Linked DNA regions of Mytilus edulis. The protein of the gene in region 2 purifies or fractionates together with the protein of the main gene of each other region. This does not show direct contact. Links are inferred from orthologs where the notes say so. Each region holds a gene or a part of one and is shown on either strand. Other genes may lie near its edges. The genes, in order: isoleucine--tRNA ligase, cytoplasmic-like; glycine--tRNA ligase-like.

What was found.
Region 1: the proteins of glycine--tRNA ligase-like (region 2) and isoleucine--tRNA ligase, cytoplasmic-like fractionate together in Homo sapiens (co-fractionation; 3 studies listed by BioGRID). This does not show direct contact. The link is inferred for Mytilus edulis from reciprocal best matches to the Homo sapiens genes GARS1 and IARS1.

Annotation. Positions count from the first base shown.
Region 1 is NC_092344.1:112,851,298-112,859,609, forward strand, and holds the start of isoleucine--tRNA ligase, cytoplasmic-like, read right to left. Parts: upstream 3,767-8,312; 5' UTR 3,633-3,766; intron 1,284-3,632; 5' UTR 1,273-1,283; coding exon 1,154-1,272; intron 745-1,153; coding exon 588-744; intron 117-587; coding exon 1-116. UniProt on the Homo sapiens protein: Catalyzes the specific attachment of an amino acid to its cognate tRNA in a 2 step reaction: the amino acid (AA) is first activated by ATP to form AA-AMP and then transferred to the acceptor end of the tRNA.
Region 2 is NC_092345.1:85,539,208-85,547,429, reverse strand, and holds the start of glycine--tRNA ligase-like, read right to left. Parts: upstream 3,274-8,222; 5' UTR 3,233-3,273; coding exon 3,002-3,232; intron 1-3,001. Other genes in the region: tRNA N6-adenosine threonylcarbamoyltransferase, mitochondrial-like, read left to right, coding at 3,577-3,812. UniProt on the Homo sapiens protein: Catalyzes the ATP-dependent ligation of glycine to the 3'-end of its cognate tRNA, via the formation of an aminoacyl-adenylate intermediate (Gly-AMP).

The DNA.
Region 1 (8,312 bases), on a different chromosome or scaffold from region 2:
CAATCTTTAGAATATCTCATGACAATTTTACGGCATTCATTGTTGTAGTTCTCAATACCCATCTTAGCCACATCTTCTGGACCTTTGATGCCCAATGTTTTATCGATTTCATACTCCTAAAATAAGGACAGAAGGTATTTCAAAACATAACATACAGAAGCTTGACAGCTACGAATTCATAGCCATTTATATTAACATATACCTAGTAAACTTATATAATTGATTATTAGATGTTTATTTTTTTTACTCTACAAATCCCCCCAAATTATACCTTTTTTTATTTAGATTATCTAAAAGACCATTACATTTTTTATTTGACTGCAGTTATCACAAATTCAGAAGCTACCAACCAAACTTGAATTGTGTTGATTTTGTAAGTGCTTTCTCAGAGAAAAAGCACCCTGCTCTTTTTAATCAACATTATACTAACTATTGAGTCACATGCCTACACATCTTCTTAAGCAGAATAATATGTATTATGGTTTGATCCTGTTGACCTTGGAGTGAAAAAAATCTACCTTTCCTACTAGTACTAAATTAAAGGGGTGTCTAAAACTATCATACGATCAATATCCTGCATTACTTACAACAGGGAGACCATGGCAATCCCATCCAAACCTTCTCTCTACATGATATCCACTCTGATGGGCCCATCTTGTCATTACATCTTTAATGGTACCTGCTAGAATATGGCCATAATGAGGCAAACCTGTGGCAAAAGGGGGTCCATCATAAAAAGTATACCTGTTAAAAAAATAAGATGATCACATTTTATAATCTTTCAAAGATGATCTAAAAAATGCATTCCTGTTGAAGGTGTATTTTAATTCACTAAAATGGTTTTAGATGTAGGCTTTAGCTAGTGAAAGATCAATATTAAAACCAAGTTTAACCCACAAATTTCTTTAGAACTACCTGTACAAAGTCAAGAATATGGTATTTGTTTTTCACTTGTTCTGTTGATTGATAGTGTTTTATTTTGCTAGTTTTTAGGGACTTTTCTTTTTGAATTGCCTTGGAGTTTGGTATTTTTATAATATTTTTTTTTATATAAAAACTTGAATGTATATCCCAGACATTACACCAAACAGATGATAGTATGTTGTTATGTTAATACTGCAATGGCAAAAAGTCTGGATACTAAAACACTTACTTTGGTTTCCCCTTTGACTGCTTCAGTGATGTTTTGAATGCATCAATTTCTTTCCAGAAAGCCTGAACTTTCTCCTCTTCCTGAGGAAATGAAATCTTCTCAGGAACTTGTTGAGCCATTAACTCTAGTGCTAGAAAAATTAAAGCATTTTCTGTTTTACATAATTCAGAAGTGACCAAACACCATTAGCAATAAAGAATTTAAGGAAAAAACATGGGGAGAAGCAAACTAGCCTTCTTCAGTTACTAATACCTTCCTATCAGGATTTCTTTGTTAGAGGGTTGCTGCTCACAAGGAAGCTATTAAACAAGAGTTCCAAATGGGGATTTTCGAAATCATCCCTTCCTAAATTTTATGGACGCCATCAGTTAGTTGACCGTAATGGAATATTCGTTTTACAGATGTTATCAGATATGAATGTGACATACTGAAGTAGACTTTTTACAGGGTTATTAATAACATGAGCAACATGACCAGTCTGTGACAAAAAACATTTTAATCTACTTGTATGGACACTTAATATGGGGACGAAGACCCCTATTAAGGTACAAAAATCAATAAAAAAAATAAAAAAATTTAAATCGTGAAAATTTCCCTAATTTTTCAATAACAGGCTATTATTTGAACTTGGAATTATTTTTAATTATGGAATTCGTATAATTTCTTGTGTTTAAATTTTTTTATAAATTCCATGTTTATTTTGTATTATGATCTTTTGAGCAGTTAATAACACTTTCCATACCATGTATTTTGGTTAGATAGTGTTGTGCGCGGCACAGTACATTCTATTGAAAATATACTATTTTCTCTGTAATAGAAAGTGTTGTGCGCAGCACAGAACATTTCAGTACAGAATAATTATGGAATTTATTAAAAATTTCAATAACAAGAAATCAAGCAAATTTCATAGTTGAAAATAATTCCAAGTTCAAATAATAGACTGTTCTGATATACATGTACTAATGAACTCAAAATCATTAACTTTTTTTTCAGACTTTTTTAAATTCACGCATTTGCACAGAAATCTACTTCCTTTTCCAGTCTTGTTTGCATGAGACTTTGAAAAAAAAAAAATTATCAGTCTAGTAAAATATAGGATTGGAACTCAATACCAATTCAATTCTAATAATTGTTTGATATGAAAAAACGTTACCTGATGAAAGCGTTTCTTTGTTTACATTGAATATGACGTCATAATTTAAATAATGTCACAACTAACTCTTTAACAACAGAACCAAAATCTGAAACGTTACGGTTTCTGTTTCTATTATCAACATGTTTGAATTAAAAAAAATAAAATCATACAGACTTCGCCCCCATTCACAGGTAATGCCTGCCTCATATTATCAAAACTTGTCCCTTTGACTTCATAGAATTTTGAAAATGTTCACTAGTTCAAATCAATATTTACTAGTCTGGGGCACCAGACTAGTGGCTAACGGTACAGACTGCATGACTTGTGCCACATGTGGAGCAGGATCTGCTTACCCTTTCCGAGCACCGGAGATCACCCCCAGTTTTTGGTGGGGTTTTTGTTGCTTAGTCTTTAGTTTTTTATGTTGTGTCTTATGTACTATTATTTGTCTGTTTGTCTTTTAGCTCTGGTTTTGTCAGTTTATTTTCAATCTATGATTTTGAATGACCCTTTTCGGGCCTTGGGTATCGTTCACGCTTCTTTTACTGCATAAATAAGGTGAAAGTAAGACCAATTTGAAAATAAGAATTGATCTTTCCGCCATATGGATAGTATCAAATGAACTTGATATATTTTGTCAACATTAAGTTCATCATAAGGAATTGAAAAATATGGCCGTGTTTACACCTCAAAATTTACTATGAGTACAGACAAACTGGTACATCTAGGAAAGTTTTAAGGCATGGCAGGAACTAGACAAGTAAAAGTTATATGAAGTCTACATTTCAGAAAATTAAAAACTTGCATGGATTTTGATGTCCAGTTTTTTCCAGTCTGCAGAAGATAGCAAAATAAACAAACACCTGAGTTTCATGAGATACAGTCCACTCAGTTACACAGTTTAAACCTGTTAAATCACCTATTGTTTACAGGTGTCTATTGTCCATTTAAATCAATTCTACTCACAACATTGATTATATGAGGGGAGCTTCTCAATCGTTTTCACTACTTAGTTAATTTTTGCACCTTCTGCAGGAACGAAAAAAAATGGATAGCAAAATCTAGAAAAGTTTATAATTTTCTGAAACACAAAATGCATTTAAAATTTATATATCTAGTTCCTGCCATCCCTTAAAACTGTTGCAGGTGTATAGGTTAGTCTGTACTCAGAATAAAATTTGGGGTGTAAATAGTACTAAATACGGCCATTTTAGCCAAAAGGTTATGATGAACCTTAAGGAAAATTGACCAAAAAGAAACTGAAAGATAATAAATCGCCAAAATCTGCTAGATTTTTTTTTTATTTTCACTTTTAGCTTTTTCGTGTTAATAAAATAAACTTACTTTCATTAACAATTTAAGTAATTGACAACTTTTCACTTGCACTTTGTTGTTGAATACCAGATAAAAATAACTTTTCAGCCGGTTGCATCAGCACATGTTGACTTGACCGGAAATAATGAAGTGAAAGAAACAGCTAAATAACCTCCTGTATAAATCCGAGCCTGGGCCCAACACACGGTAATCGGATATTCAAAATTCGTATATATTTTCATAAAAAAGTATTGATACAAAAAACAATAAAAAAAAAAAAAAAACTTTCTCAAATTTCACAGAAAAAGAGCCTGTATTACAAATCCTTGAGGGCTAGATATTGTAACCGGAGGGATTTTTACGTTGAGTATTTCTGTGTCAACTTTTACATATTTTACCCCAGACCGTGTAAAGAGTAGGTATCGGAATCCTGAGTCTCTGATCCTTCGTATGTGGCTTTGTAGAACTTAATAATAGCAAGTTTTCATAGTTTATTATAATAAATTACAATTAAGCAAATCTCAACAATATTATAAAGATAAAAGTATTCAAATGTAAATAAGTTAAAACTCACATAAAAGTGACAAAATATGGCGAGGTCTGTGCAAGACCAGCAAGACTGAAGATAGACATTTTGTTCTATATATAACAATGTCATCTTACAGTTAGTGGGTAAGGTCTGTGCAAGACCATCAAGCTTTCTATATGTAAAGCTATACTGCAGAGTGACTAGTGTCGACAAGCAGTGTTGCGTATCTTTTCTTTCATAAAAGCACTTACCGTAAAAATAGTCTCTTTAATAGACTTTGGCTCTCTAAATGATTAAGCAATTTAACAATTATTAATCTCGGAACTAATTTTACAAGAGCAAGATAAATAGAAAAGCTCTATAAGTAAATGATCAGTTGCAAATTTATCAAAATCTGTGAATATCTTCAACAAATTAAAGCACAATAAAGTAAATAAATATTATGACATGTAAAACAATCATTTTCATCAATAACTTATATCAACAGTAATATCTAAATGTTAATTTCACAAGTCCATTTTCAAGGGAAGTAATGTTGTCTTAAAAACTGGCTCTCCGCCACATTCCTCCCAACTTAAAAACTGAAGCCATGAAGTTTAAAAACAAGGCAGGTATGAATGGTTCTAAATTCTCCATTTAAACACAGCGATATTCTTTCACATATATTATTTCACGGTATTCTTTATATTGCACACGAAACACAATCGAATTCCTTCATCATTCTAACACTAGAAGTGCTGATCAGGTCATCTCCAATATTAGTTCTAACACACGTACATTATGTCATATCATCACCCTCACTGTAAACAAGTGCTGAAAAATTGAACAACAAAATTAAACAAATAGTTACACTGAATCGTCACCCAGTAAACTGTTGTGTCAAATGCTATAGAAATTGTGTAACTGTCTAAGAAGTAGATATTTTGTATGAGTTTAAGAGACATTTACTATAGAATAAAACAATCATGCCGCGACCAGCTCTTTTTAACAGGCCCTAGCGATATAAACGTGAGTCAGAGGCTCATATTGGCGTTTTAAAACACGTCAATCGTGCCGAAACAATCATGTTCGCAGCCTAGCTTATATCCACATAAACATAATAATCTTGAAGCAAGTTAGCATAAAATAAAATGATGTAAGCGACGGTCCTTTAAATGGACCAAAAGGATACAACAATGTTGTTCCTGTCGATTCATACACATTCATCTTGAGCTATGTATAATAACTGAATGTATTAAGATAATATGATTAAAATATACCATTCTAACTAAACAATCTAATTTAAGCTTTACTCCCATTTAAACCATTTAAAACTTCATCATCTATGCAAGATATACACCCTATAATTATCAATACATACTTTATCTCTGCCATTCTATATAATTATCAGTTTCTGTAAGCTAAAACTGAAATTGTTACTCATCATTATTTCATACATATGATAAAGCATGACAATGTCTTTTCAAATAAAAATAAACATGTAAACATAAAACATCAGTGAACAGTGTTTCTTTAATGAACTCTGTTATGTGAGAAGTAATTTCTACTCACTTACGTTAAACAAAATGAAATACATTGTAAAAGATTTAAATTTCACAATTTTAACTTACATATTTGATTGTATAAATAGTGCTGTAGCCTATGAGAAGATCAGATGTTTCGCCTCAGGATCCCACCGCTGCCACCAAAATGTAACCGGAGGGATTTTTACGTTGAGTATTTCTGTGTCAACTTTTACATATTTTACCCCAGACCGTGTAAAGAGTAGGTATCGGAATCCTGAGTCTCTGATCCTTCGTATGTGGCTTTGTAGAACTTAATAATAGCAAGTTTTCATAGTTTATTATAATGAATTACAATTAAGCAAATCTCAACAATATTATAAAGATAAAAGTATTCAAATGTAAATAAGTTAAAACTCACATAAAAGTGACAAAATATGGCGAGGTCTGTGCAAGACCAGCAAGACTGAAGATAGACATTTTGTTCTATATATAACAATGTCATCTTACAGTTAGTGGTAAGGTCTGTGCAAGACCATCAAGCTTTCTATATGTAAAGCTATACTGCAGAGTGACTAGTGTCGACAAGCAGTGTTGCGTATCTTTTCTTTCATAAAAGCACTTACCGTAAAAATAGTCTCTTTAATAGACTTTGGCTCTCTAAATGATTAAGCAATTTAACAAATATTAATCTCGGAACTAATTTTACAAGAGCAAGATAAATAGAAAAGCTCTATAAGTAAATGATCAGTTGCAAATTTATCAAAATCTGTGAATATCTTCAACAAATTAAAGCACAATAAAGTAAATAAATATTATGACATGTAAAACAATCATTTTCATCAATAACTTATATCAACAGTAATATCTAAATGTTAATTTCACAACAGTCCATTTTCAAGGGAAGTAATGTTGTCTTAAAAACTGGCTCTCCGCCACAATATATATGGTTACATGTATTTGTTTTAGAAAATTCTATTGATTTTTATAACTTCTTGAACTCTTCAAGAACATTGATAAAATAAATCTTTAGGATAAAATCTGACATGAATTGTACACATAAGAGCACTAAAAAGGCAATTTTTGATATGATTAATATTTCGAAGGGGCATAACTCGAAAAATTTATTGATCAAATTCATCCAAGAAATTGTTAGACTTGTTATATATACCTATGATTTAAGTTTCATAAAATTCTGGCAAGAATTGTACATATGAGTGAGCAAACATAATGCAATGCTCCATATAATTTATTTTTCCAAGAGCAATAACATTTTGAACAATTATTGATCCTCACTGATTTTCGAACTCATTTAAGACATTGCTGATACAAACCTATGGTATAAGTTTCATTATTACCAGACTTAACTAATCGATCAGATCGGTAATCGAACACTAATCAATCATATTCGATCAATACTCGATTGATGACTTGAAGTCATCGATCAGTAATCAATCAAACTCTCTCAAGAGTTTGATCGATTAGTGATCGATAAGATTACTGATCGATTTAAGACCGATTACTGATGGATTAGTGATTGATTAATGACAGATTAGTGATTGTATTGTTATTGAGAAAACAATGCTATTCCAGAAATAAGCCTTATGAGAGACATCATTTGTGAAATAAAAGTTCCATTGAAATGTTTTCACCATTGCTAAAATTTTCTGGAATTCTAGAATTTAAAATCATTTTACTGCTAAGAAGATACTGGAATTTTTTTTCATGATGTTGTCAATATGTCTGGAAATATGAGTGTAAAGGTTAGAACTAATGCCTATGGAAGACATCAGTGTTTATTTTTTTAGTCTTGAATTTATGTTTCTGTCTAAATATGCAAAAAAATCCAGGATTTACTCAGCAATACATGTTTATATACAATATGCAGTCGTAACCAAGAGAAACGTATCTAAAAGCTTAGCCCTAACATATTCCTGATTAAAAACTACATTTTTGTAGGTTTACCTGTGTATATTAGTACAATAACTATGACGTCTTGAAAGGCTATTGTATTTTTTTCTTTTACGCCTTTCATTGACATCCAAGATGTTATAATTATTGATATAAAAACTCTAATTTTTATATGTGTGCAATATTACTTCCATGGTGCAAGTAACAAATTTGGTTGTAGAGGGGTCTAAATACAGCACAAACTACATTTTCCAACAGACCAAAAAAGTGAAAAAATAGATTTTAACAACAACATTTGACTTGAATATAGTAGTATATATATACTTCCTTGGTTTGATAAATATTTGATGCCTTTTAAGTTAATGACCTTTGTTAACACATCAAAATTAATTTTGACATATAATATTAGCTTCAGACACTTGTGATGTTATTAAAAAGATGAAAATTTCAACCAAGTTAATATATATTAAAATCTGTATTTTTCATATATAAGGATTAATCAACACAAATAAATTGTGCAATTTGATATATCCTTAACTTTATGATGAAATTTAGGGTTTGTCCTATAACATTATTAACTAATGCCAGATTTTAGGTCAAAACTAAATAGCCAGAAAATTTACCAATTAACAGAAAATTGATACATCATTTATTCAAACACACTTGTTTGTCTTCACAGCAGGATATTGTCTAATTACCACAATATTGTAGAAGACTGACCAGAAATGACCAGCTGTGGACTATGACTCTTCTTAGGATTGCAAAAAT
Region 2 (8,222 bases):
TATATTTCATCTGATTTGTTATATTGTCCCATACATGAATATATATGGTTTAGGGGTGGGGATCTGAATCATTTTTAAATTCTAAAACAGGAAGGGTGGGTGACCCCCAGCGACTCTTCCTATATTTCATTTGATTTTTCATATTGTCACAAACATGAATATATATGGTTAAGGGGTGTGGATCTCGACCGTTTTCAAGTTCTCAAACAGGAGGGGGTGGGGTAACTCCAGGGACTTCCCCTATATTTCATTTTATTTATTATATTGTCCTATACTTGAATATATGCAGGGGCGGATTCAGGAGGGGGGGGGGGATGCGAGCTTGCATCCCCCTTAAATTTGCAAAGCATGGGTTGTTCTCAGCTTAATAATGAATATTCCGATAATTTTACCTCAAATTTTTTTTAGCCTCGCTCTGCTCTGGGAACAGTATATCTAATATATAATTTTAATATATATGTTCCTGCTCTGCTCGGCGAAAATTTAAGTTTGTGCCCCTCCTTACCTAAAATGCTGGATCTGCCCCTCATATGGTTTAGGGGTGGGGAACTCGACCGTTTCCAAGTTATCAAACAGGAGGGGTAGAGTGGCCCAAAGAATGCCTCCTATATATCATATGATTCACTTACATTTAGGTATATATAATATTGTTGCATTATTTGTGAAAATAAAGAAACTTTTAGCTACTTTAATTGACCCTTCAAAATTGAATAAAACAAATAACGCTTCAAAATTGCAGTACTATATTTACACTTTAAAAGCATCTCACATGCATTATCATCATTTATCACTGATAAAGAAAATATAGACTGTGACCATGAACATGTATATTGTTAGATATACTGTTCCCAGCTGTCACGTTGTATTGGATTTTTAAATTAAAATTTGTCAAAAAGTAATTTTGAGTTTCTGTATAAAATATTTTTCTGCTTTTTCTTTCTTTTACATATATCTTTTGGTTTACAATTCTAGTGTTTATATTCATTTACCATGCATAGATTTATTTTTTCACCTGCTTTGATTTATTTTGTAAATGATCGCTAAACCCGGAATTATCCTTATCCGCTTCCGGAATCGGATCCGATATTGTAAAATTTTGTCTTCACGGCCGCCATTGTTGTGTTTACAATGTTGTTTTTGTCAATCAGATACGATTTTACTCGAATTTATACAATATTTGTCGGCGAATATCTGTATAAAGCTAGCAGTTGAACAAAGTGAACATCGCTGTCATGAATAATAATGATAAAAATAAGTTTTTAGCTCGTTTAATTGGAGACTTTGGTGACTTGCATGGAAGGTTTGCAAAGTAATTTCTTATTTTCTTTCAAGTGGAAGGTGACTACGTCGGGCGTAGCTAGAAACCCACTATCCTAGTCGAAATTCCGCTTGCAAAAGTGGAAGGTCGCGGACCTCGGACCACCGCTAATTTGCACACCTGCCTCCAAATTGAAAAGCTACGAAAATTTCTTTTTCTAATTTGAAATTGCCGCCAACAGCATGAACAGTTGAACTTATTATATAATAGACTACTGACGTAATTGTACTACGTATTGATGACAAACAATATCCCTACGACTTTTGCCATTTGGGAAATCTAAACTACTTGTCTTAAGAGATTTTCGGCGATTAAATATTTCATACAATTGTTCTTTGACATCTTAGCCAAAAGCACAAGTCATAATGAACTACACAAGGATTCTTAATAAGCACTACTTCCTATGTGTAACTTCAAAACTTTTGGATAAATCGACGATCATTTAAGGTTTTTCTGGTCATATTTTTTGTAATCCAGAATAAAAAGTATTAAAAAAGTGTTCAATTAGTTATATATAACATAGTAGCGAGCTAGATAATAACAATGGCAAGTTTTTCAGCATTTAATGGGTAGAACACAAATCTAGGGCGCTCGCATAATGCAGCTTAACTGCATAAAAACGAGAAACAAGAAACACTTATGAAACACAAACCACACCAACAAACGACAATTATGCACTGAACATTAGGTTCCTGACTTAGGACAGGGGCAAATAAATATAAATGCAGCGGGTTTAAACATTTTGATAAGCCGATGATATTACATGTTTTTAATATTATAAATACGTAGTAAAAATAAATGAAAAGCTAATATTCTCGTACTATAAAAGTTTATCCTAACATTTAAACAATTATTTCGTTTGTTTATATTAAGATGCACGATGTCAGTATATTGCCGGTGGCATTGGGTATGGTTGTATAAAAAGTATACATGTCAGCATCATCATTTCCTCTCGGATGTTAAATGTTAAATATACAGGGAGTCCTTAATTGGTGAATTAAAATTTTTCTTCCGATTTTTCTATTCTATAAGATAGGCATCCGACCCTACATTTACCTGTAATGTTTCACATGCAAGTTAAAATTAGTCCTACCACAGTATAAGGTTTTCAATGCTTTGCAATATGCTAATCCTTCGATTACAAAAAAAATCTATTTCCTTTTCGGTTCTTTTCGGTTCTTTTTGGTCCTTTTCGGTTCTTTTCTGTAAATCGTCGCTCTTTTCTGTAAGTCGTCAAACCCCTCTTAGGCAGTCAGTGGGCCCCCACTTATGAAAATTTCTGTCATTTTTGAGGGCCTTTCAATTTTTTTCTATCAATATTACCTTTCTTGTCGCTAAAATAGTTTCCTTTTGCATATTCTTTTAATATTTATTTGGAATAAGTAACTTTAATAAAAAAAAATGTTTTCTAGTCCCTAAATAGTTTATTGCATTTGTCGCTTCTTGTCTCTAGAATTATTCTTCTTGTCGCTAATTAGTGAGACCGATAATGATTTTCAAACTTGCAGCAATAATTCCATTTTAATAACTGAGTATAAATACCAATTTATCAGTATAGCTGTGTCAACATATTAAATTGAGAACCTAAATTTTCAACATATTTTGTAAAATGTAAACAAGTCCATGCTAAGAAATTTGAAAAAAGCAAAAGAAACCAGTGATGAGAGAAGGATAATTTGTCACCTGTTCTTTTACTTGTTGTCTAAAAGGCTGCAAAATTTTCTCGATTTCTGGATCTGTCAATGCCATCATCTGTACCATATGCTGCAACTTTTTTCCAAATAGCTTCTTCTGATTTTTAGATTTACAAATGCACGGAACGCTAAGATGTATGGTGCGTTTATTTAAATCTTCTAAAATGGAGCCACTTAACCTCCTGCTTATCTTAAAGACACAAGAAAATAGTTGTTTCATAGAGATTTTGTCATGATGCAATTTGCCACGGAACCGGAAGTTCAACAGTGAGGTTCAAAGGAAATGTGAAATTCATCGAACATCTTTTTTGAAGCAAAAATCATAATCATAAAATAAAAGCAAGACTTTGTATCCATGGACAATATTGAAACCGTGTTTAAAGTTTTCAACTTAGTCTTTGTCAGTTTTCATGAACTTCTTAGTATTTTGTTTTTCCCCTCACGGGTCTCAAGTTCTGATTTCCAAGATGTCTGCGCCCATGAAACCAGGCATGAAATTATTTATGAAGGATGAAAATAGATTTAGACAATATTAGATAATTAATATCAAATTAATTCCATACAATGTTAACTTTCAGTAGACTTACATACATCCGAAATATAATAGGACAAGCGAAGAAAAACAAAATACTTGATGCCAGTTTTCGAGTTATTTCCCTTAGGCTTAGGAAGGTTGGAACACATCCAAGATTAGTCTTAGGGATTGAAACAAGTTGTGATGACACAGGTGCAGCTGTGGTTGATGATAAAGGGAACATACTTGGTGATGCGCTTAACTCCCAAACAAAAGTGCATGTGAAGTAAGCAGCCCTTGTACAAATGTTGTAAGAGGGGGTGATGGGGTAGTCCAAGATTACTCTGACGTCCAACTACTGTTTTTGCCAGACAAGCTAGGGTCGAACAGCCTTTGGACGTCAGAGTAATCTTGGACTAGTGATGGGGGTACCTCCATGACATATTTAAATAACAGTAGAAATTCATGCAAAATGACATTAAAAATAAATTTTGGTGACCGTCAGTCACGATCATGTGAAACTCAACTCATTTCATTCATTCAAGAGCTTGCAGCAAATAACAACAATAACACACAAATAGACTTAATTATAATGTACTTTGCCAAAGGATTTGACAAAGTCCCTCATAAAAGACTTCTATACAAACTTAAATATTATGGTATTCAAAAAGAAACACTCCACTGGGTCGCTGCCTTTTTTAAATGACAGAACACAAACAGTTGACCTGGATGGAGAGTCATCTGACCTGGCTCCAGTCAGCTCAGGTGTCCCTCAAGGCACAGTCCTGGGCCCAGTATTATTCTTGGTATATATATCAACGACCTACCAGAATACCTACATGTATACCGACGACAGTATCATCTACAAAACCATCAAATCTCAAAGTGACTGTAATGCACTCCAGTTAGATTTAGAAGCAGCTGCTAGGTGGGAGCAAGACTGGTTGATGGCTTTCCATCCAGACAAATGCACAGTTCTTACAGTCTCACAGAAGAAAAACCCATTTAAACATGACTATATCCTCCACAATCACAAACTGGAACTTGTCTCTTCGGCTAAATATCTGGGCATTACACTTCAAGCAAACCTAAAATGGTCAAAACATACAGACAACATCATAGCTAATGGCAACAAATCTCTGGGCTTCTTAAAAAGAAACTTAAAAACCTCATGTCAGAACATCAAAACTCAGGCATATCTGGCACTAGTTCGTCCAAAACTGGAATATTCATGTTCAGTGTGGGAACCTCACACAGTTGAACAAACCTCCAAAATCGAGATGGTCCAAAGGCGAGCTGCCAGATATGTCTGTAACAGATACCATAACATCAGTAGCCTGACAGATATGATAAACACCCTAAACTGGCCAACTCTACAGGAAAGAAGAACACGCACAAGATTAATAATGTTCTACAAAATAATACATCAAATCGTCGCTATACCATCTGCTATTCTCATACCATCAGACAGTAAAACCCGCAAAAACCATAATTATACTTTTAGACACTTTTCAACCAAAAAAGATACATATAAATATTTATTTTTTCCATATACCATAACTCAGTGGAACTTATTGCCAATGCAAACAGTCGCTGTCGCCACAGTCGACACTTTTAGAGAACAGCTCACACCAGCTGTTCTCCACAAATTCATTTAACTCATTATTAGCCTATGTACATAGTTTTAATCACCTTTTTAAAAAAGTTAAATTACGCACCTCAAATTTATTTCCATATACTTTTTGTCTTTGTCTTTGTAAATATATATATAGGCCACGCTGCGCGCGCAAACAGTAAATAATCTTCAAATCATTGAAGGACTACTGAAAACCTAAAGAAGAAGAAGAAAAATAAATTTTGGTGCATATTTTTTTGGCACTGGCTACGGTTACATGGAAATGTAACAATAATAAAAATATTATTGTTACTTTGAAGACTAAATGCCGGAATGCATGGTTTGGTAAGGATCTGTTTAATTACGAATGTAACAATAATTATTGAGGCTACGGTTACATAGGGTTATTGTTACATGAAAAACAGCAATGTACGATGGGACTAGTAATATGTACTAAATAATAAAAAATGAAGAAATTTATTTTATATTTGCAATACATGCATTTATTACATACAATTTATTTACTGTAATTTTTAATTTACAATGACAATTTCTACAAATCTAGTAAGTGGTTTTTAAAGTCCAACACATTTTTGATGAACAAAATTGCGTCCTCCACAGTTACGTGTACATACAGAAGTTCTTAGTATTTAAGTTACAGTTAGCAAACTTTGCTTTTGATGTATCAATTTGGGTCAAGTTGTATAGCTGTATGAAATTTATGTCTTGATTTTGTTTAAGTTTCACTGGTTTAAAACACATCCCAATTTTTAAAGATTTTCACCCTAACAAAATTGGTTCAAAGTATAATGACAGTAATAAGAGTAGGTGTGCAGTTAAATACTTTAAAAAAGTGAAACCATTGAACTATATGTTTCGCCTTTGACACTCCTAATCTTGAGTAGTATCTTTAAGAACATCAAAACCATTAATACGTAAAACTATTCAAGTTAAACACCATTTGATTGTTGAATAATAATATTTATTATTTATCAGTATTATTTATCAGTATTACAAGTATTGTTTAGTACATATAATAATAATAATAATAATAATAATAATCTTTATTTCAAGAGGGTATGCTCAATTAGTACAAACACTATTCTCCCTTGAGGCCCTCACACTCCACTCACAATGCAATTCACACAATTTCTTCATAACAAAGAAAAACATTAGAAAACATAAATCAAAGTTGATACATAGTCATTTAAATATTTCCTGGATTTTCAAGTAAAAACTTAAAGCAGTTTGTTTTAAAAGTATTTATGTTTGACATGTGTCTTAGTGCTTCTGGTAGTTTATTCCATAAAGTTGGGCCAGAATATGAAAAAGATCTTCTAAATGTGTTTGTTCTTGCCTTTGGTATATTAAGTAATTGGGTAGTATTTGATCTAAGTTGCATTCCATTTTTATTTGAAACATAGGAGATTTTGTTAGACAAATATTCTGGAACAGATCCATATAAACATCTATGAACATATAAGGCCTTGTGGTAAATCACACGATCAGTAAATCGAAGCCATGATAACTTTTTAAACATTGTATTAGATGGGGTATCATAAGGAAGTTCAAGAATAATTCTAGCTGCTCGTTTTTGAAGTTTATCTAATCTATTTGTATTTTGGTCACTGGTGTTTCCCCAAATTGTACAACAGTAATCCAAAATAGGGAGAATATAACCATTAAAGTATAACTTTCTTGTTTCAAGGGGTAGGGATTTCTTTATCCTAGACAAAAGATTTAGCCTTGTACTGATTTTTGTGCACAAAGTGTCAATTTGGGCTGTCCACTCAAGATTTTCATCAATAAAAACCCCAAGGAGCTTTTCACAATTATTATTAACATCTCTAATGTGTGAGTTACCAACACTCAAATTCAGAACATGGTCTGTTTTTGCTAGTTTCTGTCTAGAACCAATAACCATAGATGTAGTTTTTGTTGGATTTATATACATCTTATTTCCCTTGCACCATTCTTCAATTCTTTCTAAATCATTTGTAATGCTGTCCTGGATGGTATTGAGACTACGACCTGTGCAGTGAATGGTAGTATCATCTGCATAGAGGTCTGCTTGAGATGAGGTTATATGAAGGGGCAAATCATTAATGAACAATAAAAATAAAAGGGGGCCTAATATGGAGCCCTGAGGTACTCCAGTTTTTATTTCTAGTGCCCTTGACTTAATTGTCCCATTTTCCACTTGTTGGAATCTATGAGATAGATATGATTTAAACCAGTTACATGATAAATTTGAAATTTTGTAGCACTGCAGTTTTTGAAGAAGGATAACGTGATCTACCAGATCAAATGCTTTTTTAAAATCTAGGAAGATAATACCTATAATTTCTCCATCATCAATTGCTTTCAACCACTGATCAATAAGTTTTAGTAAAGCAGTATGACAAGAGTGGTGGCTTCTAAATCCAGACTGACTTGCATGAAGGAGCTTATATTTTAATAGGTATCGGTATAGGTGTTTGCAGACATGCTTTTCAAAAATCTTTGACATAGTAGGCAAAATAGATATTGGTCTATAGTTGTCGACAGTATCTTTAGGACCCTTTTTATGGCTTGGCATGACACGGGCATTTTTAAGCTCAGAAGGAAATATACCAGCAGTGATACTCCTATTTATAATATAAGCTATTGACGGTGAAATAACTTCTGATGATAATTTAAGTATGCGAGGACTTATCTGATCAATGCCTGTAGCTTTTGCAACATTTAAATTGCTAAGGCAGTCCTTAACTTCTGCAACTGTTATCAAGGGGATGTAAAACCAAGTATCTTGAGGTACTTTTGCTGCTACCTCCTCATAAATCTTGTTACTATCAAATTTGTATGATTGAGATGTTGACAGGCTATCTTTTGGGGCAATATTTATAAAATGTTTGTTAAAAGCATCAACTATATGCTGAGTTTCTGTGATAACACCATTGTGTGTCTTAAGTTGGTATGGAAAAGGAGAACTTTTTGTTTGGTTGAGCCCCTTGACATATTTCCATAATTCTTTTGGATTTTTAGCCTGTTCAATGGATGTTTTATAAAATTTGTTTTTTGCATCATCTATAAGTGATTTGC